2 linked regions of the Elephas maximus indicus genome follow. The protein of the gene in region 1 interacts with the protein of each later gene in a pairwise test. Links are inferred from orthologs where the notes say so. Each region holds a gene or a part of one and is shown in the gene's direction. Other genes may lie near its edges.

The links.
Region 2: the proteins of NR1H2 (region 1) and NPY interact in a two-hybrid assay, tested with the Homo sapiens proteins (3 studies listed by BioGRID and IntAct). The link is inferred for Elephas maximus indicus from reciprocal best matches to the Homo sapiens genes NR1H2 and NPY.

What each region holds. Positions count from the first base shown.
Region 1 is NC_064829.1:98,025,843-98,037,674, reverse strand, and holds the start of NR1H2 (oxysterols receptor LXR-beta), read left to right. Parts: upstream 1-6,286; 5' UTR 6,287-6,417; intron 6,418-6,551; 5' UTR 6,552-6,659; intron 6,660-7,776; 5' UTR 7,777-7,795; coding exon 7,796-7,838; intron 7,839-7,938; coding exon 7,939-8,070; intron 8,071-8,331; coding exon 8,332-8,673; intron 8,674-8,760; coding exon 8,761-9,020; intron 9,021-9,198; coding exon 9,199-9,378; intron 9,379-10,431; coding exon 10,432-10,558; intron 10,559-11,832. UniProt on the Homo sapiens protein: Nuclear receptor that exhibits a ligand-dependent transcriptional activation activity. Binds preferentially to double-stranded oligonucleotide direct repeats having the consensus half-site sequence 5'-AGGTCA-3' and 4-nt spacing (DR-4).
Region 2 is NC_064826.1:85,177,642-85,188,874, forward strand, and holds the start of NPY (pro-neuropeptide Y), read left to right. Parts: upstream 1-5,919; 5' UTR 5,920-6,042; intron 6,043-7,174; coding exon 7,175-7,362; intron 7,363-11,233. UniProt on the Homo sapiens protein: NPY is implicated in the control of feeding and in secretion of gonadotrophin-release hormone.

The sequences.
Region 1 (11,832 bases):
ACCGAGGCACAGGGACGTTGAGTAATTTGCCTCAACATTACACAACGAGGAAGTGTCAGACACCCAGTTCTGCCAGACCAGGACACCCACATTAACTATTTGCTTTACTGCTAACATGCTTGGGTGGAAAATTCCACGGCCTCAAAGGCCAGGAATGGGTAGTGCATTTGCTGAGCATAAAAGGATCTTTGTATTGTACTGTTTAGTGGACAGCACAAGTTACAAAAACGTACGCATCATATATTCTCGTATATGTATATATATTATCTGATTACTACCTATATGGTGAAAGGATACAACCCTATCCCACACCTTTCCTGACTTTAAACCATGTAGTATCCCCTTGTTCTTTTCAAACGGCTGACTCTTGATCCAAGTACAGATCCCTCACAACGACAATTAAGTGTTCCAGAATTCCCGTTCTCTGCAGTGTTTTTGATAATTTGTTATGAGCTACACAGCCAAATGCCTTTTGCATTGTCAATAAAACACAGGTAAACATCTCTCCCCCACGTGTCTGTCAGTTTGTCGTACTGTGGGGGCTTGTGTGTTGCTGTGATGCTGGAAGCTATGCAACCGGTATTCAGATACCAGCAGGGTCACCCATGGAGGACAGGTTTCAGCTGAGCTTCCAGACTAAGACAGACTAGGAAGAAGGACCCGGCAGTCTACTTCTGAAAAGTATGAGCCAGTGAAAACCTTACGAATAGCAGTGGAACATTGTCTAATATAGTCCTGGAAGATGAGCCCGCCAGGTTGGAAGGCACTCAAAAGATGACTGGGGAAGAGCTGCCTCCTCAAAGTAGAGTCAACCTTAATGAGTGGATAGAGTAAAGCTTCCGGGACCTTCATATGCTGATGTGGCGCAATTCAAAATGAGAAGAAAGAGCTGCAAACTTCCATTAATAATCAGAACCTGGAATGCATGAAATATGAATCTAGGAAAATTGGAAATCACCAAAAATGAAATGGAACGCATAAACATCGATATCCTAGGCATTAGTGAGCTGAAATGGACTGGTATTGGCCATTTTGAGTCAGACAATCATATAGTCTACTATGCTGCGAATGACAACTTGAAGAGGAATGATGTTGCATTCATCGTCAAAAAGAACATTTCAAGATCTATCCTGAAGTACAACGCTGTCAGTGATAGGATAATATCCATACGCCTACAAGGAAGACCAGTTAATACGACTATTCAAATTTACACACCAACCACTAGGGCCAAAGACGAAGAAATAGAAGATTTTTATCAGCTGCTACAGTCTGAAATTGATCGAACATGCAATCAAGATGCATTGATAATTACTGGTGATTGGAATGCAAAAGTTGGAAACAAAGAAGAAGGATCAGTATTTGGACAATATGGCCTTGGTAATAGAAACAATGCTGGAGATGGAATGATAGAATTTTGCAAGACCAACGACTTCTTCATTGCAAATACCTTCTTTCACCAGCATAAACAGTGACTATTTTTATACGCATGGACCTCACCAGATGGAACACACAGAAATCAAATTGACTACATCTATGGAGAGAGACGATGGAAAAGCTCAATATCATCAGTCAGAACAAGGCCAGGGGCTGACTGTGGAAGAGACCATCAATTGCTCATATGCAAGTTCAAGCTGAAACTGATGAAAATCAGACCAAGTCCATGAGAGCCAAAATATGACCTTGAGTATATCCCACCTGAATTTAGAGACCATCTGAAGAGTAGATTTGACGCATTGAACACTAGTGACCAGAGACCAGACGAGTTGTGGAATGACATCAAGGACATCATCTATGAAGAAAGCAAGAGGTCACTGAAAAGACAGGAAAGAAAGAAAAGACCAAGATGGATGTCAGAGGAGACTCTGAAACTTCCTCTTGAGCGTCGAGCAGCTAAAGCAAAAGGAAGAATTGATGAAGTAAAAGAACTGAACAGAAGATTACAAATGGCCTCTTGAGAAGACAAAATAAAGTATTATAATGACATGTGCAAAGAGCTGGAGATGGAAAACCAAAAGGGAAGAACACGCTCAGTGTTTCTCAAGCTGAAAGAACTGAAGAAAAAATTCAAGCCTTGAGTTGCAATAGTGAAGGATTCCATGGGGAAAATATTAAATGATGCAGGAAGCATCAAAAGAAGATGGAAGGAATACACAGAGTCATTATACCAAAAAGAACCAGTCGATATTCAAACATTTCAAGAGGTGGCATATGATCAGGAACCGATGGTACTGAAGGAAGAAGTCCAAGCTGCTCTGAAGGCATTGGCGAAAAACAAGGTTCTGGGAATTGACAGAATACCAGTTGAGGTGTTTCAACAAACAGATGCAGCGCTAGAGGTGCTCACTCATCTATGCCAAGAAGTATGGAAGACAGCTTCCTGGCCAACTGACTGGAAGAGATCTATATTTATGCCTATTCCCAAGAAAGGTGATCCAACCGAATGTGGAAATTATAGAACAATATTGTTAATATCACACGCAAGCAAAATTTTGCTGAAGATCATTCAAAAACGGCTGCAGCAGTATATCGACAGGGAACTGCCAGAAATTCAGGCTGGTTTCAGAACAGGATGTGAAACCAGGGATATCATTGCTGATGTCAGATGGATCCTGGCGGAGAGCAGAGAATACCAGAAGGAAGTTTACCTGTGTTTTATTGACTATGCAAAGGCATTTGACTGTGGATCATAACAAACTATGGATAACACTGCGAAGAATGGGAATTCCAGAACTATTAATTGTGCTCATGAGGAACCTTTACAAGGATCAAGAGGCAGTTGTTCGGACAGAACAAGGGGATACTGATTGGTTTAAAGTCAGGAAAGGTGTGCGTCAGGGTTGTATTCTTCCACCATACCTATTTAATCTGTATGCTGAACAAATAATACGAGAAGCTGGACAATATGAAGAAGAACGGGGCATCAGGATTGGAGGAAGACTCATTAACAACCTGCGTTATGCAGATGATACAACCTTGCTTGCCAAAAGTGAAGAGGACTCGAAGCACTTAGTAATGAAGATCAAAGACCACAGCCTTCAGTATGGATTACACCTCAACATAAAGAAAACAAAAATCCTCACAACTGGACCAATGAGCAACATCATGATAAACGGAGAAAAGATTGAAGTTGTCAAGGATTTCATTTTACTTGGATCCGCAATCAACAGTCACCGAAGCAGCAGTCAAGAAATCAAAAGACGCATTGCATTCGGCAAATCTGCTGCAAAGGACCTCTTCAAAGTGTTGAAGAGCAAAGATGTCACCCCGAGGACTAAGGTGCGCCTGACCCAAGCCATGGTATTTTCAATCGCATCATATGCGTGTGAAAGCTGGACAATGAATAAGGAAGACCAAAGAAGAGCTGACGCCTTTGAACTGTGGTGTTGGCGAAGAATATTGAATATACCATGGACTGCCAAAAGAACGAACAAATCTGTCCTGGAAGAAGTGTGGCCAGAATGCTCCTTAGAGGCACGGATGGCGAGACTGCATCTTACATACTTTGGACATGTTGCCAGGAGGGATGAGTCCCTGGAGAAGGACATCATGCTTGGCAGAGTAGAGGGCCAGCAGAAAAGAGGAAGACCCTCACAAGGTGGATTGACACAGTGGCTGCAACAATGAGCTCAAGCATGACAACGATTGTAAGGATGGCGCAGGACCGGGCAGTGTTTCTTTCTGTTGTGCATAGGGTCTCTATGAGTCGGAACCGACTCAACGGCACCTAGCAACAACAAGAAAACATCCCTCTGGTGTTGTCTGCTTTCAGCCAGGATCCATCTGACATCAGCAATGATATCCCTGGTTCCACGTCTTCTTCCAAGTCTGGCTTGAATTTCTGGCCCTTCCCTGTTGATACACTGCTGCACCTGCTTTTGAATCAGCAAAATTTTGCTGGCATGTGATATTAATGATACTGTTTGATAATTTCCACATTTGGCTGGATCACCTTTCTTGGGAATAGGCATAAATATGGATCTTTTCCAGTCCAGCTGGCCAGGTAGCTGTCTTCCAAATTTCTTGGCATGGATGAGTGAGTACTTACAGTGCTGCATCCATTTGTTGAAACATCTCAACTGGTATTCTGTCAATTCCCAGAGCCTTGTTTTTCGCCAATGCCTTCAGAGCAGCTTGGACTTCTTCCTTCAGTAGCATTGGTTCCTGATCATATGTTACCTTTTAACGTGGGTGAATGTCAACCAAGTTTTTTTTTGGTATAGTGACTCTGTGTATTCCTTCCATCTTCTTTTGATGATTTCTGCTGTTTAATATTTTCCCCGTAGAATCCTTTAGTATTGCAACTCAAGGCTTGAAGTTTTCTTCAGTTCTTTCAGTCTGAGAAATGCTGAGTATGTTGTTCCCTTTTGGTTTTCTATCTCCAGGTTTTCGTACACATCCTCACAATACTTTGTCTTCTCGGACTGCCCTTCCAAATATTCTGTTCAGCTCTTTTACTTCATCATTTTTTCCTTTTGCTTTAGCTACTCGATGTTCAAAAGTAAGTTTCTGAGTCTCTTCTGACATCCATTTAGGTCTTTTCTTTCTCTCCTGTCTTTTTTAATGACCTCTTGCTTTCTCCATGTATGATGTCATTCCACAATTTGCCTGTCTTGGAAGTACAACCAAAATGTTCCTTAGAAGAAAGGTTGGCCGGACTACGTCTCACGTACTTTGGACATATTATCAGGAGGTATCAGTCCCTGGAAAAGGCATCGTGCTTGGTAAAATAGAGGGTCAGCAAAAAAGAGGAAGACCCTCAACGAGATGGACTGACATAGTGGTTGCAACAATGTGTTCAAGCATAGCAATGACTGTGAGGCTTGTACAGGGTTGGGAATTGTTTTGTTCTATTATGCATAGGGTTGCTGTGAGTCGGAATTGACTGGAAGGCACCTAACGACAACATTATATAGAAAGAGCTCATTCGGGGGGGGGGAAGGGTAGCAGCATATTTAAAAGAACAGCTGAGCTAAGACTTAGCACAGAAGTGGGTCTCAGACCTTTTGCTTCTAAATTGGTCCTGGCTTTTATCTGGTGACATATGTCCAGTGTTTTTAGTTCCTTGACATGAGTTTCTTGGTTCCTCAAACCAAAAGACCAAACCCAGTGCCGTCGAGTCAATTCTAACTCATAGCGACCCTATAGGACAGAGTAGAGCTGCCCTAAAGAGTTTCCAAGGAGCGCCTGGCGGATTTGAACTGTCCACCCTTTGGTTAGCAGCCGTAGCACTTAACGACTAAGCGCCAGGGTTTCCTTGGTTCCTAGGCAGGACTAATTATGACATGGGGCAATCAAATCGTTTCTGTGTCTATGCAGGATTCTAGTTTTAGTTGGTTTGCCTAAAAAACAATCCTAAGAGGAAGCATTAAGGGAAATCTGGTTGCTTATTGTTCAAAATTTAGCCTCAGGTTAAGATACTGGTTCTCTTGTGTCCGGCCTACGCCATATGTTGTTTGCTTTCGAATTTTTACAGCTTCTGCTCGCAAGAGGGTTAATTTTACCTCAGGACCCCAGACCTGTCTCAGAACATTATCGGATATAGTGCAGGATGATAAGCCCCTCATGGTGGAAGGCACTCAAAAGGCGACTGGGGAAGAGCTGCCTCCTCAAATAGAGTTGACCTTAGTGATGTGGATGGGGTAAAGCTTTCGGAACCTCATTTGCTGTCGTGGCACTACTCAAAATGAGAAGAAACAGCTGTAACATCCACTAACAATCGGATTATGGAATGCTCGAAGTATGAATCTAGGACAGACAGAATGCTGATTAGTAAAGAGGATGATGAGACTTGTGTCATGTACTTCAGACATGTTATTAGGAGAGACCAGTCCGTGGAGAAGGACATCATGCTTGGAAAAGTAGAGGCTCAGTGAAAAACAGGAAGACCACCACAAGACGGATTAACACATTGGCTGCAATGATGGGCTTAAGCATAGAAACGCTTGTGAGGATGGCACAGGACCGGACGTTGTTTAGTTCTGTTATGCGTACAGTCTCTATGAGTCGGATTAAACTCCAGGGCACCTAACAATAACGAATCTTTGGCTGCGGGCCCAGAGAGGCCACAGAAGCGCTAAGGCCACACAGCTCGGGACGGGAAGGTTGGGGACTGGCAACGCCCCCTCAAGGACATTTGATTGCTTTGGCGCGGAACTCCTCAGCCACACCCTAGTGGAGCAACCCGGAGGGGGCAAACTTCCGGTGGGTGTGCCACTTTCGTGCGGGGCAGCCGATTCAGCTGTTGTAACGCGCACCGGAATTCCGTCATCTGTCACTCCCCGCCCTTTTCCGGAGGTGACGCACGACGGGGTTGCCGGAAGAAGTGGCGAAGTTACTTTTGAGGGGACCGGAGCAGTGGCGGCGTTCAAGGGGATACAGAGAAGGAGGAAGCGGAGCAGAGAAAGCGGACAGAGTCAGGTGCACCCGAGGGGGGCGTGGGAGGAGTCCGGGGCTATGGCATCTCAGCCCTTCCCGCGCCGCTCCATTCAGCCCCCTTCTTTCGTTCTTCCCCCGCCCCTTCATAACTCGTACCGCCCCCCGGCTGTTTCCAGGGTAACGGAACCAGGAGACCCCGCGAGAGGCCGCCCCGAAGACCCCCACGCGCAGCCATGAGCCCCGCCCCCCGCTGGTGTTTGGAGAGGGGCGGGACCTGGAGCGAGGTGTGGGGGCGGAGCATGATGGGGCGAGGGGGAAAAGCCTGACGGGAGGGGAGGGGGCGGGGCTTGTAGAGAGGGGGTACGGATGGGGCGGGGCTTGGAGCACGATGTTGGGGGCGGCCGTGAGCGGTGGAGATGAGAACCGAACTTGGAAAGAAGGGGGTGAGGATCTGAAAGGAAAAGATGCGGACAGAACTAAAGTTTGCTCAGAAGAAGTGACGTGGAGTCTGAGTACCCAAGCCAGTAGTCGTGTGGTGGATTCTGCCTTATAGTGACCCTGTAGGACAGAGTAGAACTTCCCCATGGGATATCTGGTAGGGGCTGGTGGAGTCAAACTGCTGAACTTTGGGTTAGCAGCTGTAGCTCTTAACCTCTGCACCACCAGGGTTCCTGAATAAGTAAAACCAAAAAGACCCCACCTGTTGCCTAAGAGTCTATTGTGAACCACAGCGACTGTGTAGGCCAAGAGTAGAATGGCCCCATAGAGTTTCCAAGGAGTGCCTGGTGGATTCGAACTGCCGACCTTTTGGTTAGCAGCTGTAGGTCTTAACCATCAGGCCACCCGCATAAGAACAGGTGGGGTGGAATTTGATGGGAGGGAGGAGTGAATGCTTAGCAGGATTGAAGGAGGAGGGTGGGACCTGGAAGTAGCAGGTAGGAGGGAAAAACCTTAGTAGGGTGTGCCTTGGAGCAGAAGGGGCCAGACCTGGGGACATGGGGAGGGGAGGAGCCTGGAGCAGAAAAAGGGCAGAGCCTTTTAGAATAGGATGGGAGGGTTTGAAGGTAGGAGCTCCTGGTGGCGTCTTTATGGAGTTGGGGAGGAGTCTGGGAGAGATGGAAGGAGGAGAGGGGACCTCATTAGCACATGTAACTAGCTCAGAGGAGACCCATCCTGACTCCTCAAGTCTCTTAAAATGTGTTGCCATCGAGTCGATTGTGACTCATAGTGGCCCTGTAGGAGAGTAGACCTTACCCATAGAGTTCCAAAGCAGACTGCCACATCTTTCTCCCGCAGAGCAGCTGGTGGGTTCAAACGAGCAACCTTTCAGTTAGTAGCTAAGTACATAACTACTGCGCCACCAGGACTCCTTTTGAGGCTCATAATCCCCCTGTATTGCAGGCTGCTCCGTGACCCCACCATGTCCACCCCCACCACCAGTTCCCTGGACAGCCCCCTGCCTGGTGAGTGTCCCGCACCCACACCCAGCCCACCCCCCCGCAACACACACACATCGGTCAGGAAGGAGGCACTCACTGTGCCTCCCTGTTGCCTCTCTCCCAGGAAATGGCCCCCCTCAGCCTGGAGCCCCCTCTTCTTCACCTGCTATAAAGGAGGAGGGCCCTGAGCCTTGGCCTGGGGGTCCAGACCCCGATGTCCCAGGCACAGATGGGGCAGGCTCTGCCTGCAGCGTGGGTGAGATGGGGCCCCAGGATGGGATGTGGAAGTAGGTGTTGGGGCTCAAGGTGGGATCTGGGAAGGTAGAAAGATTAGAACCAGGATGGGGAGATGGCAAGCCCCTGCCTCTTGTTGATTTTTTGCCTCTCTCGTTCCCCCTTGTCATCTCTTGCTTTGATTCATTCTTTGGGGTGCACTGACACATCTTTCTCTCTGGTCTCCATCTCCTTGGGTGTTCACATCTCCCTGCTCGGGCTTCCACCCTGGGACCTCTCTTAGGCCTGTCTCCCTGTGGCTCCTTCTCTCATGATCTTCATCTGACCACCCTAGTCATCCCAGACCCAATGGAGGAGCCAGAGCGCAAGCGGAAGAAGGGCCCAGCTCCCAAGATGCTGGGCCATGAGCTGTGCCGCGTGTGCGGGGACAAGGCCTCTGGCTTCCACTACAACGTACTCAGCTGCGAGGGCTGCAAGGGCTTCTTCCGGCGCAGTGTGGTCCGTGGTGGGGCTGGGCGCTATGCCTGCCGGGGCGGTGGAACGTGTCAGATGGACGCCTTTATGCGGCGCAAGTGCCAGCAGTGCCGACTACGGAAGTGCAAAGAGGCGGGGATGAGGGAGCAGTGTAAGTGTGGGCGGTGGGATGCGGGGCTGTGCCAGCCCGGCGCCCACTCTCCTTAGAGCCTCTGCTGAGGTCCGTGTGCCCACACAGGTGTCCTCTCCGAAGAACAGATTCGGAAGAAGAAGATACAGAAGCAACAGCAGCAGCAGTCACCCGTGGGGTCAGGAGGTGGCAGCAGCTTATCCTCTGGGCCTGGGGCCTCCCCTGGGGAGCCTGAAGGGGGCAGCCAGGGCTCTGGGGAAGGAGAGGGCGTCCAACTAACGGCGGCTCAGGAACTTATGATCCAGCAGTTGGTGGCGGCCCAGCTGCAGTGCAACAAGCGCTCCTTCTCAGACCAGCCCAAAGTCACGGTATGGGCCCTCGTGCAGCCTCGAGGAGGGCCAGGCACACCAGGGTCGAGCCGGCAGGGCTGTGGCCTAAAGCAAGGGAGGGCAGGAGCTCTAGAGGATGAGGCTTGGCCTCCAGGTGCCCCCGTGGCCCTGGTTCCAGGGAAGAGTCTTGTGTGACTCTGGCCACCTGTGTCCTCAGCCCTGGCCTCTGGGTGCAGACCCTCAGTCCCGTGATGCCCGTCAGCAGCGCTTCGCCCACTTCACAGAGCTGGCCATCATCTCCGTGCAGGAGATTGTGGACTTCGCCAAGCAGGTACCCGGCTTCCTACAGCTGGGCCGAGAAGACCAGATCGCTCTCCTCAAGGCATCCACCATCGAGGTAATGGCTGGCCCGCCCATCCCCAGGCAGGCGCTGCCCTCCTGCCTCCGAGGGACCCTGGAGAGGAGCCCTAGGGTAGATGCTGGGTAGCGGCAAGCAGGACTTACCAGTCCCTGCTCTCTTGGAGGAGACATTCCATGGAGGAAGATGTTGTTCTTGTTCTTAGCTGCCATTGAGTCGGTTCTGACTCGTGACTCCACGTGTGCAGAGTAGAACTGCTTCATAGGGTTTTCAAGGCTGTGACCTTTTGGAAGCAGATTGTGAGGCCTGTCTTCGAGGCGCCTCTGGGTGGGTTCAAATCACCAACCTTTTAGTTAGTAGTCGAGTGCTTAACTGTTAATGCCACCCAAGGACTCGTTACAGAGGAAGGTAGTGGATGTCAGATGCATTCACAGGACCATCAGAGTTTTGCTGATCCCAGGACAGAAAGGAACAAGGGGTTGAGTTTGAGGACTGGGCTAGAGGGGCCTGCTTTAGGAAGAGTGTGCCAAGAAGGCTTTCTCCAGGATAACAAATAAGTATTGATTGTCTGCTGTATAGGAGCCTTGGTGGCACAACAGTTAAGTGCTTGGCTGCTAACCAAAAGGTTGGCTTTGGAACTCACCCAGTGGCTCTTCAAGAGAAAGACCTGGCGATCTGCTTCCGTAAAAGATTACAGCCTAGAAAACCCTATGGGGCGGTTTTACTGTGTCACATGGGGTTGTTACAAGTCGGAATCAACTCCAGGGCACCTAAGAACAACAATAGCCTACTGTGTGCCAGGCTCTGTCCTAGGTGTTGGGGATAGAGCAATGAACCAGACAGACAAAGATAGACGAACACTTCTGCTGCCTTCCTGGTACAGATCTGGGAAAAGCATGAGCTACGTGGAGGATGCAGTGCGTGCTGAAGCCTGGGGGAGGGAAGGAGCCTGGAGAGCTCCACGTGTGGACCAGCGGTGATGTAGCTGAGAGCAGGGGTCAGGGTTGAGCAGTGATCCTGATGAGACCAGCCCCTGACTTGGGCCGAAAGGGGAGGCCTAAAGGGTTACACAGGGCCCCCTCGTGCCCCCAGCCTCCCCCTGGTCCCCACCACCCTCAGATCATGCTGCTGGAGACGGCCAGGCGCTACAACCATGAGACGGAGTGCATCACCTTTCTGAAGGACTTCACCTACAGCAAGGACGACTTCCACCGTGCGGGTAGGCCAAGCGCAGCATCATAGTTACCTAGAGCTGCTGTGACAGAAAAACACCACGGCAGGGTGGGGAGGTGTGGGGGTAGCAAGGCCTTTCAGGAAGACATTTATTGTCTCAGAGATGGGAGGTCCTGGTGGCACAAAGGTTAACTGCTCAGCTGCTACCATAAAGCTTAGTGGTTCAAGCTCACCCAGGGTCTCTCCGGGGAAAAGACCTGGTAACCTGCTCCTGTAAAGATTAACCCAAAACCAAACCAAACCAGATGCTATCAAGTCGATTCTGACTCATGGTGACTCTAGGACAGAGTCGAAGTGCCCCATGGGGTTTCCAAAGCTCTAATCTTTATGGAAATAAACTGTCACATCTTTCTCCTGCGGAGCAGGCTGGTGGGTTTGAACCGCCGACCTTTCAGTTAGTAGCCAAGCACTTAACCACTGCTCCACCAGGGCTCCTCTGTAAAGATGACAGCCTAGTAAACCCTAGGGGGCAGTTCTACTGGGGGCAGCTCTGCTCTGTCACATGAGATCAGTACGAGTGAAAAATGATTCAGCAGCACTCAACAACAACAAAGTCTAAAGCAGGATGTTGTCCATGTTGGTTACTTCTGGGCGCCTCTCCTCTAGTTTCCAGTGGCTACTGCAATCCTTGCCATTCCTTTGCTTGTAGATGGGTCCTAACAGGTGTCTCTCTTGACCTTGTATGTGCCTGTTCTGATTTTTATACCACCACTGCGAAGGGATTAGTTTTAGGGCCCACCCTACTCTGATGTGACGTCATTACCATAACAAAAAAACCCTTATCTCCAAACAGGGTTCTATTGATAGGTACAGGGATTAGGACGTCCTTATAACTTTTTAGGGAATACAGTCCATCCATGACGGGCAGGCTTGGGAGCCACCTGGTACCCTTCTCGGCCCCTGCTGGCTGGCATACCTCGGGCTGTCACACTTCTGGCTGATCCTGCATTTCATTATGTCCAAAGTGGTGGTGAGGGGTGAGCCCGCCTCATAACAAGCCTTCAGCGAGACAAGAGGTGCTCTGTACGGTGGGACACAAAGGAGGATGCCACAGAGTTTGTCGGCTGTCATGGGGGGCATCTTGGTGGGAATTAGGCAAAGGCACTGGCCTCCACCCTGATCTCTCAGCCAAGGGAGAGCAGGCTGGATTGTGTGCAGAACACTGTGCAGTGTACAACGTACAGCCTGTGCCGCTGGAGGGAGCAACCCTGGTCCCTGCTCTCCAAGAGCATTTACCTGGGGGATGTGGGCAGGCAGGTG
Region 2 (11,233 bases), on another chromosome or scaffold:
GGCTATAAGTCCAAATTCAGGGTGCCAGCTCCTGGGAAAAGGTTTCTTTCTCTGTGGGCTCTGGGGGAAGGTCCTTGTCATCAATCCTCCCCTGGTCTAGGAACTTCTCAGGTGCAGGGACCCTGGGTCCAAAGCATGTGCTCTGCTTCTGGTGCTTCTTTCTTGGTGGTATGAGGTCCTCCTGTCTTTCTGCTTGCTTCTCTCGTTTATATCTCAGAAGAGATGGACTCAAGATACAACCTAATCTTATAGACTGAGCCCTGCCTCATTAATGTAACTGCCTCTAATCCTGTCTCATTAACCTCATAGAGGTAGGATTTACAACATGTGAGAAAATCACATCAGCTAACAAAATTGTGTACAATCACACAGTATGAGGAATCATGGCCTAGCCAAGTTGACACACATTTTTGGCAGACACAATTCAATCCATAACAGGTGCCATCGAGTCGGTTCCTACTCCTAGTGACCCTATGTGGAACAGAAGGAAACACTGCCTGGTCCTGTGCCATCCTCACAGTCATTGCTATCTTAGAGCCCATTGTTGCAGCCACTGTGTCACTCGCTGAGGGTCTTCCTCTTTTTTGTTGATCCTCTACTTTACCAAGCATTATGTCTTCTCCAGGGACTGGTCCCTCCTGATAACCTGCTCAAAGTATGTGAGATGAAGTCTCACCATCCTTGCTTCTAAGGAGCATTCTGGCTGTACTTCTTCCAAGACAGATTTGTTCCTTCTTCTAGCAATCCATGGTATATTCAATTTTCTTCACCAACATCATAATTCGAAGAGATCATTTCTTCTTCGGTCTTCCTTATTCATTGTCCAGCTTTCCCATGCATATGAGGTGGTTGGAAATACCATGACTTGGGTCAGGAATACCTTAGTCCTCAAAGTGACATCTTTGTTTTTAACACTTTAAAGAGGTCTTTTGATTTGCCCAATTCAATACATCCTTTGATTTCTTGACTGCTGCTTCCATGGGCACTGATGTGGATTCAAGTAAAATTTAATCCTTGACAACTTCAATGTTTTTTGCATTTATCATGATGTTCCTTATTTGTCCAGTTGTGAGTTTTGTTTTCTTTACGTTGAGGTATAATCCATACTGAAGGCTGTGGTCTTTGATCTTCATCAAGTGCTTCAAGTCCTCTTCATTTTCAACAAGTAAGGTTGTGTCATTTGCATATCACAGGTTGTTAATTAGTCTTCCTCCAATCCTGACACTGTGTTCTTCTTCATATAGTCCAGCTTCTTGGATTATTTGCTTAGCATTCAGATTGAACAACTATGCTGAAAGGTTATAACCCAGACGCACACCTTTTCTGACTTTAAACCATGTGGTATCCCCTTATTCTGTTTGCACAACTGCCTCTTGGTCTATATACAGGTTCTTCAGGGGCACAATAAAGTGTGCTGGAATTCCCATTCTTCTCAATGTTATCCGTAATTTGTTATGATCCCCACAGTTGAATGCCTTTGCATAGTCAAAAAAAAAAACAAAACACAGGTAAATGTCTTTCTCCTACAATGCTATAGAATTAGGAATTGATGTTAATGGAAGCTCCACTTTGGATAATTTAGATATAATCTACAATGCCTGAGCTAGTGCTGAGCTAGTGGTAGAGATTTCAGACTCATGAGCCATAGGAGTATATGAGCTTGATCACTCAGTGTATGTAAAATGGAAAAAGATCAAAGTTGAGGCTGAGACTTGGGGTACAGAAGGACTAGTCAGCAAAAGAAACTGGGGCAAGGTCAGAGGGAAAGGTGGTAAGCTAGAGGAGACCAGTGAAGGTAATGGTCAAGAGAAGTCAAATAAGTAGTGAAGGTTTATGGGGTTGCAATCAGCATGATCTTACTGATACAGGTTCAGTACCTTGAACAGACAGAACCTATATTTCAGTGTCTTATGACCAAACCAAAGCTGAAGAAGCAGAGGCAAGGAGTGGAAACATTTTTTTTAAAAAAAGCTTTGCTCTGAGACTTGTAGTTCTGGTCAAAAGGAAGAAACAGGAACTGAATTTACCCTCTCATCTGAAACAACTAAAAAAACTGGAAAATATATGCTAAACAATGGCACTCAAGGCACTGGACATCAGGCAACATGGGACAGCTATCTCCTAAAGGAGGGGAACAAATGAGGGGAGTCCTGTAATGGTCCCAGCTTACTGCCTGAAGAAATTTTCCAGGCTGTAGTGCACAAGGGGAGGAATCAACACAAAGAATGGCAGCTCAGTTGAAGAGATGGAGCTAGGAGTCTGGGGAAGCCAGGGCAGCTAGAGCTCTCAGGTAGAATACAGGATTGGAGAGAGCTGCAGAGAGAGAGAACTCTGGAGATCTGCAGAGGGTTCCTCTCTAGTAATCAGTTGATTACAGATCAGATCATACATGGTCGAAAACTACCCAAGACAGGGAAAGAACAAAAGAATTAAAGGAAACAGGGCCCAGTGTTCACACAAGGCCAGGAATAGTGCCTGTTCCAACAGTCAGAGTGGAAAACTGCACCATTCAGGAGGCGACAGTTAAAGTAAGAAAAGTCTTGCCTCAATAATGGGGAACTATTAACCTTGGACTAAATTCAGCTCTGATCCCATCTAACAAAACTTAAAAGGAAGAACCAAATGTGTCAAATTGTTCCCAGGTTTTTAACTGCATCCCAGGACAAAAATTAAGAATATTTGTAGGAATACAAAAATATCCAACAGACAACATGGTAGAATTACAATGTCTGCCTTCGTATAAAAAAATACAAGACATACAAAGAAGGAAAAGTATAAGCTATAATTAGAAGAATTAATAATCAAGTTACTATTAATTTTTATTCAAGAAGCTAGAGAAAAGATCAAGCATACTAAGCAGAGACACGAAAGATACTAAAAAAAAATCCAAATTGAACTTCTAGAGATGAAAACTACATGCTCTGAGGTATAAAATGCACTGGATAAGATCAACACCAATTAGCCATTGCAGAAGAAAAGATTAGTGAACTTAAAGATAGGAATGGAAACTATAAAAAATAAAATACATAGGAAACAAAACAAAGAACAGACAATTTGTGAACTGTGGGGCAACATACCAGCTACAATACGTCCCAGCTATTCCACCCCTAAGTATTTTCCCAAAAGAAATGAAAGAACATACCCATGCACAGACTTGTAAATGAACGTTTATAGCAGCTTTATTCGTAAAAGTGAAAACTGGAAACAACCCAAAGTCTGTGAGCAGGTAAATGGATTAAAAAACAAAACAAAACTGAGGTATAGTCATACAATGGAACACTACCCAGTAATAAAGGAACAAACCATCGATACATGCAACAAAGCGCCCAGTGCCGTCGAGTCGAACATGGGTGGATCTACAATAACGACGCTGAGTGAAAGAAGGCAGCTGCCTCCGACAGAAGAGTACGTACTGTGGGATTATAAAAAACAAAAACCTATATTTATATACAATTCTAGAAAATGAAAATGCATTTATAGTGACAGAAAGCAGATAAGAGGTTGCCTGGAGGAAGGGGTTGGAGAGAGGTTGGAGGGAAGAATTACAAAAGAACCTGCGGAAACTATTGGGGGTGATGCACACGTTCATTATCTTGATGATGATGATGGCTTTATGAACACGCAAAACCCAAACCCATTGCTGTTGAGTTAATTCTGATTCCTGGTGACCACAGTATATGTGTAATATATGTCAGAATTTATAAAATTGAATATTTAAACATTTGTAGCTTATTGCATCCCAACTGTACCTCAATAAGGCTGAATAAATAAATAACATGCAAACATACATACATAAATGCAAGCTTAACTTTGAAACAAAGTAGAGAAATGGTTCAGCAGCTTAAAGGAGATGCTGAGTTGAGAGACAGTTGTTTTTGTTTGTTTGGGGTGGTAGCTTTGCTTTGTTTCTTTTACAGTGTAAACCCAAGCAAATTTTTAAGCTGAAGGAGGTGAAAAGTATAGGAAAGAAAGGAGGCAATTGACGGAACAAGGTCCTAAGAGAGAAGGAGAATATTCAGTGCCCATGGTGGTGAGGGGGTGCGTTTTGGACTGGAGAGAAAGGAATAAAGATGTTTGTAAGATACATGTGGAGCACATCACTTCTTGTTTTTTATTTTCTCAATGCTGCCCCCTGAGAATGGATTCTTATTCTTGGGTGCCAGTGACATTATCTGCAGCTAAATCGTCAAATTTCCCTAGTGCTCCCCACTGAAGGCTGGCACAAATCCTTAGAAGTAATTTCTCCCGAATTCAGTGGCTCCTTCTATGAGGTTTTAAATGATAGGAATTTGTGATACACTCTAAAAATTAGATTATTTTATTGAAAAGTAGATGGTGTCTTTCCTCTTTTCTAGAAAGGGCTCTAAATTAGACAATGTTTTGCTCTTTTACCGAAGATGTTTTCACATGAGCACTCTCTGAGCAAAGCTGAGAGCCCTGATACATGTGTGCTCTGGGCATGTTATTTCTGTAACATGGAAAGAGGAACAAAGTGGAAGGGATATGGGTTTTCGGAATTCATAACCTGCTTATTGATTGCATTTGTGTGTGTGTATTAGGGTTGCTTAAGTAATTGATATTTAATTGAATGCTGTCAAAACATTTTAACAGAATCACTTGTCATTTTGGCATTCAAGCAACTTGTAACTTAACGTTTTTATTCCCTAACGTGCCATTTTAATCAGTAACATTCAGACTTCTAGGCTTATTCATTCAGGGAACTTTAAGATTGCAGTCCACTACATAAAACCCTGATCTTTTAAGAATAGTATGTGGTCTATTTTTCATATACACTCAACAGGTTTAACGCGATGTGCAAATTAATGTTGATCATTTTCTGAAAGCCTGTTTTTATTTCAGTCAGAACACAATTAATTAATTCTCAGCTAATGTTAATTGAACACACGTAACCAAACTAAAACCAAACCCGTTGAGGTAGAGTCGATTCCGACTCACAGTGACCCTATAGTACAGAGTAGAACTGCCCCCAAGGAGCGCCTGGGGGATTCGAACTGCCGACCTTTTGGTTAGCAACCGTAGATCTTAATTACTACCCCACCTGTATACAAAGGGCCAGGAGATAAACGGAGAAACTGCAGTTCTTTTATACCGGCCACCTTGGACCAAACTTTTTTGTTTGATCGCGCTTTAAGGAGTCTTCAGACACTGGAAAGGTGGCACTTTTCCAGCAAATGGTGGAATTGGATTTACCGTATTCCGCCCCTGAAGAGTTTTAGCAGCCACAGTCTTTCAGGTCCTCACCTAGCCGGGCTCGCAGCATTTGGGCAAGTCTTTGGGAAGGGCTAATCTCCCAGAAAAACAAGCTGGGGAAGGGGGCCAAAGCCATGGAAGTCCGTTCTTAGCTCATTAGGGAGCGGTGTTTGTGATTCTCTAGCTGGGTAGGTCCGTCAGCCGCCTCCGACCTGCCGGATAAATGAGGGACAATGTGCGCCAAGTTGCTTCCCTCCGAAAGCGCACAAAGTTGTGCCCGGCGCGGGTCCCGAAGATGCTCCATCCAAGTAGGGGACTCAAGTGTCTCTTACCCCGGCGCCTGCTGGTGGTCCCGAGGACAGGCGACAAAGGTGACCTGGGCTATGTCTTGCCCAAAGATCTTGGCAAAACTAGGCCGGTCGTAAAGGGAAGCGGAGTTGAGGCGCCGCGGGAGCGCAGGGCTAGCTTTGGCGTCCTCTGCGCCCTCGGACCGCGTGCGCTCGCCCAGCTCGCCTTTCCTGGACCTGGCCTGGAGCCGGGGCGTTGGGGCGTGGGCGGCTCCGGAGGCCAACGCTCGTGCGGCTGCGGCTCCAGCCCCCTCCTTCCGCGACTCGAAGTCGGCGGCGGGGGGGGGGGGGGGAGTGGCGGAGTGGGAGTCACTGGAGCGTGATTGCCCGAGGCCCCTCCTGCCGCGACGAGGGAGTGCCATAAAAGCCCTGTTGCGACCCGCTCTCGACACCCCACCAGACAGCTCTCATCCCGCGGAGAGGCGAGCCCGACTGCAGAGCACTCACCGCCTGGCCACGCCCGACCGCCCGCCAGCCCGCCACCGTGAGTACCACCACCTGCTCGGCCCGCACCCGAGGGTAGAGAGCGCGGGCGAACTTGTCCGGGGTGCGCTCTCAACCTCCGCGATCCCTGGAGTCCTGGGAGGGTCGCGCCCGGGTCCCCAGCTCTGCGCGCCGCGCTCTGCCCTCTCCGCGCCGCTCTCGGCGGCTAAACTCCACTTGCTCCTCTTCTGGGTCCCCTGTGATTGTCCATCCTCCCTTCTTCCGGGCCCTTCAGGCTGGGTGGTCCCTCTGGGTTAGTTTTTGGAGAAAACGGAGAACACAGGACCCCCAACCCAGAGCAGCCGGCGGTCTGCTCCAGGGTCGCCTCGTGGAAGCCCAGAGGGTGGTTCGCGAGAGGGAGGTTTGCTGGGTAGCGCCCTAACAGAGGAATCCCGGGCACTGGGGAGCCCTTTCACCCCCGGGACCCTCGGGATCCGAATTGAGACCTGCTGTGCCAGCCAGTGGTTAAGAACTCGGCTGCTAACCAAAAAGGTCGGCAGTTGGAAACCATCTGGGCTCCTTGGAAACCCTACGGGGCAGTTCTACTCTATCCTGTAGGGTCGCTTTGAGTCGAAATCGACTTGAAGGCAATGACTTTGGTGCCAGCAAGCAATTCTCTCCCTTCCACCCCCACCATTTACCAAAACAAAAACAAAAACAAAAACCCTGCCTCCCCATGGTGATCTCAGCCACCACTGTCGAGGACGCCTCCTGCAGACCAAAAGTTAGAGAAAAGAAAGTTTTCTCCGACAGAGATTTGGAGTAGTAGAGGGTAGGAAAATGATAGTTTTTCACCTAGCAGGGAGAACTTTTCTTTCTGTTTAAAAGCGTCTAACGGGCACGGGGGGCCCTCCAACTTACTTCTCTCGCCACACGACTCGTCGCCCTGCGCTTTGCGGCTAAGTTGCGCGGAGTTTTCGGACGGAGTAGAGGGGCCAGGCCAGGGCAGATTGTTCTCTGAGCCGGCAGGGTGGTGCTCGCCACGCTCGGGTTCCCTCTGCGGGGCTGGGTCGAGGAGGAATTGCGGGTCGCAGTTGCTAGCAGCGGGAGGTGCGGGAAGGCAGAGGAAGGAGGTGCTGTGGATAGTGTCCCCCAGTTCTGAAGCCCCTCCCCCGCACCTTCTGTGCCCGCAGATGCTGGGTAGCAAGCGACTGGGGCTGTCCGGACTGACCCTTGCCCTGTCCTTGCTCGTGTGCCTGGGCGCGCTGGTCGAGGCGTACCCCTCCAAGCCGGACAACCCCGGCGAGGACGCGCCGGCGGAGGACTTGGCCAGATACTACTCGGCTCTGCGGCACTACATCAACCTCATCACCAGGCAGAGGTGGGTGAGCTCGACGGGACCCGACTCGGGGCCTGCCCGGTCTGTATTCCTGGGACCCTGGAGATCTTAAGGGACAGGGACCGTTTCTTTTACCTCGCAGCGTACTAAGGCCAGGGCAGTATCAGACAAATCCTCAGCGCTCAGTAAATGTTTGTGCAGGAAACTGGGTACTTCCAGGCTGCAACTACAGTCACAGATTCATTACCCACAGATTCCAGTTCCCCAGGCTGTGTGGCTGGCGGTCTCCTCCCACCCACTCCCTCGTCTTTTATTGTTCTTAGAGCCGTTGGGGGTCTGTCTAGAAACCTGGATGGGAAAATGACCCGTGAAAGGAGGCAGGAGTGCTCTAGGGAAGTGCGGAAGGGAGAGGGTGACCAGAGTGGGTGACCAGAGTGTCTAGAAAGCAGCAAACACATGAACAAACAAATAAAGCACAAGGATACAGCTTGCTGCCAAAGACACTCCCTGATGTTCCGACCTGCCTGGGCCAAATTGAATGACAATACTTAGGAAAGGACCAAGAGAGGTATCATTTTTTCCTTCTGTACAGTGTTTTTTTGCAGTCTCAGATCCTTACTTGAGCATTTCAGTCCCTATAACTAGAGATTTAGCATATAACCAGTGGATCTGAGGTGCAGAAACTTTGCTTATTTTACAGCAGGTGACTTCTGTAAAGAACGTGCTCACCTGATAGTTTATTAAGGAGAAACTTACATAGATCTACTCACTCTAGGATGAATCCGGGTTTCCAAGGAATCTGAGAAATCCTAAGATTTTCCTAAGAACCCCCAGAAAGCCAAAATTGAATACCACCTTTTCACTCTCAGCATTGAATATTAAGCAAGATGGCAAAGCCAAACTATTTTACAGATAATATACCAAAACCAAACCCACTGCCCTCGAGGTGATTGCGACTCATCTTCACACTATAGGACAGAGTAGAACTGCCCCATAGGGTTTCCAAGGCTGTAATCTTCACGGAAGCAGACTGCGTGGGACATCTTTCTCCCACAGAGCAGCTGGTGGAAACCCATTGACCTTTTGGTTAACTGCTGAACACTTTAACCAGTGGGCCACCAGGGTTCCTACAGATAATATAGAATTTAAAAATTGTTTCCACAATTGGTACCCCTTACAGATAAATCGTTTAATATCTTATTTTAACGCCTTAATAAGCTATGTGGGATAAACCCTTCAAAGCATTAGTGTTACTTAATATGTTTAGATTATGTTTTATAAAGTTTTTTTTTTTTAACTTTCGGTACCAAAATTTCACTGTTTACAAATCAGGGAATATTTGGAAAGGATCCAAACGGGGGAGAATTTATTTTATTTAAATAAAAATTTCTTTTCTTCTGTTTCATCAAAAAGGAGTATGACATCCCAAAAAGGTTTAGAAAAAGCTTTATATATTTATATAGTTATTAGGAATACACAGAAATGCCAGAATTAAATAGTGTTGGTTTGTGACCTGTTGAAATCTGATCATTTTAATCAGGGAAAAGCAATAACATTGTGTACCCTAATAGACTTTCCAGAAAAGCTCCTTGCTTCAAATTCTTGCTTATGCTATCATACAAAACAAACTTTGACAAATAACAAGATTTGTCTTTTAAATCACTGCCTTATTTTTTTCTAGGCTAAACCTTTATTGGTTATTTCAGCTACCGCACTATATACAATGGAACTTATTTTTTCCAAGGTGATGCCCATTTCCCATTGTTTAAAGCTCTACCATTTCAAAATATTTTCTTAGGCATTATCTCATTTAGTTTTTACCCAGAACTTTGAGGTGTGTATAATTATGTCCATTTTACAGATCATGAAACTAAGGGCATTTCATGACTGCTTTTGCTTTAGGGGTGATGGAACTGGAGCCATCCTATTAATTTTCCTTGAATATTGTCATCACCATCAATGATGTGATCTCTTCAACACCTTTGATAAGGAAAAAATAAGGAGAAAGGAACTTGAGTTTCACGGGAAGGGATGCAGGTTAGATGGGAACAAGTCCCCCCTACCCCCTCCCCGAGGCAGTTTCCTGTCTAGAGTGCCTTCACCCAGAGCAAATGTTAGGTTGCGAATAGATAGTGTACCATGTTCCCTTTGTTTCCTCCAGGAAATTAGATGATGGTTTCTTTATGTACAGCCCCACCAGAAAGTGGAGGGCTGGCCTCAGGAATTTCTTGATTTATTTTTTTCCTAATGTCACACACAAAAATACCCCTCACTTAGCAGAGATGTGTGGGCTTAACTGTCTCATTGTCCTTATAAGTTCCTTCTTAAAACCCGTGAGATGCTCACAGTCTGTACCCTTCCTTTCCTTTCTGCGCTTTCAGTGCCTTCGAATCACAGACACCCACTCAACGTGTTTGGCGTATATTCTTGAGTATGTATGTGCTGTGGAAAATTACTGTGTCACTTTGTGAATATATGTTTTAATTTGGTAAAAAACTCTCGTAAGATGTCATTTCCCTTCTTCCTTTTCTCTACTTAATAATTATTTTAAGCTATATTCATTGGCTGCCTATACCACTGATTTTCTAGAGTGTGAATCTACCATATTTTGCGTACACGTTCCTCAAAAAACCAGGAGCCATGAAGCCATAGAGTTGACTTCTACTCATGGTGACCCCATGTATTTCAGAGTAGAACTGTGCTCTCTAGGGTTTTCCATGTCTGATTTTTTGGAATTAGATTGCCAGGCCTTTCTTCCAAGGTGTCTCTGAGTGGATTTGAATTTGCAACCTTTTGGTCAGCAACTGAGCATTTTTAACCATTTGCACCACCCAGGGACTCCTACACAGTCCTATAGATCAGTTTTTCTCAACCAGGGGCAATTTTACCACTCCTCTGGGGGTGGGGGCATTTAGTATTGTCTGGAGACATTTCTGCTTGTCACACCTGGAGGGGTACTATTGACATGTAGTGGGTAGAGGGGAGGGATGCTACAGTGCACAGGACAGCTGCCTACAGCAAAGAATTATGTGGCCCAAAATGTCAGTAGGGCCAAAGTTGAGAAACCCTGCCCTTGATGAGTGTTTCTCCACCCTGGCTGAACGTTAGAATCACCTGGGGAGCTTTTAAAATATACTGATGCTGGGCTCCACCCCTGATGAATTAAGTCAGAATCGCTAGGGGGTGGGCTGAGCTTTGGCAATTTTTAAAAAAGCTCCCCAGGCGATTCTAACGTGCAGTCAGGTTGAGAATCATTGTCCTTGAGACTCAATCTTTGAAAGTTAGAGCATAGTGGAGAAACAGGGCAATCCAGAATTAGAGAAGGAGGAATAGTGAACGCTGCTCTGGATGCTACTTGTTTTATGATTGAGCAAATCTTGCTATTATAGATTTAGTTTCTTGACTGGTAAATTGGAGATAATATTTGCCACTTCTTTCACTTACTGGAGCACAATGAAGATAAATGAGTTAAGGGTGCCCAAGATTTTAATTGAAACCCTCATGGCGTAGTGGTTAAGTGCTACGGCTGCTAACCAAAAGGCTGGCAGTTCGAATCCACCAGGTGCTCCTTGGAGACTTTATGGGGCAGTTCTACCCTGTCCTATAGGCTCACTATGAGTCGGAATCAACGCAACGGGTTTTTCTTTTTAAGATTTTAATATTAGTAAAATCAACTGGGCAGAGTAAGTATAAGCAGCTGCTTACAGTTTGATATCACAACCCCAGAAAACCTTTGAGAAAATCTTACAAATGATGGGGTGCCAGCAGAGTTTGTTTTGCTTTTGCTTTCCACGAGCCTCAGCAAAGGAGCAAGAACAGGAAAATGCTTACCAAAAATTTAGAGTTAACTGTGTTGGTTATGCAGTTAGAGTGCACCTCCTGTCAGCTTTGTGCAGCTATTTTGCCTGTTAAT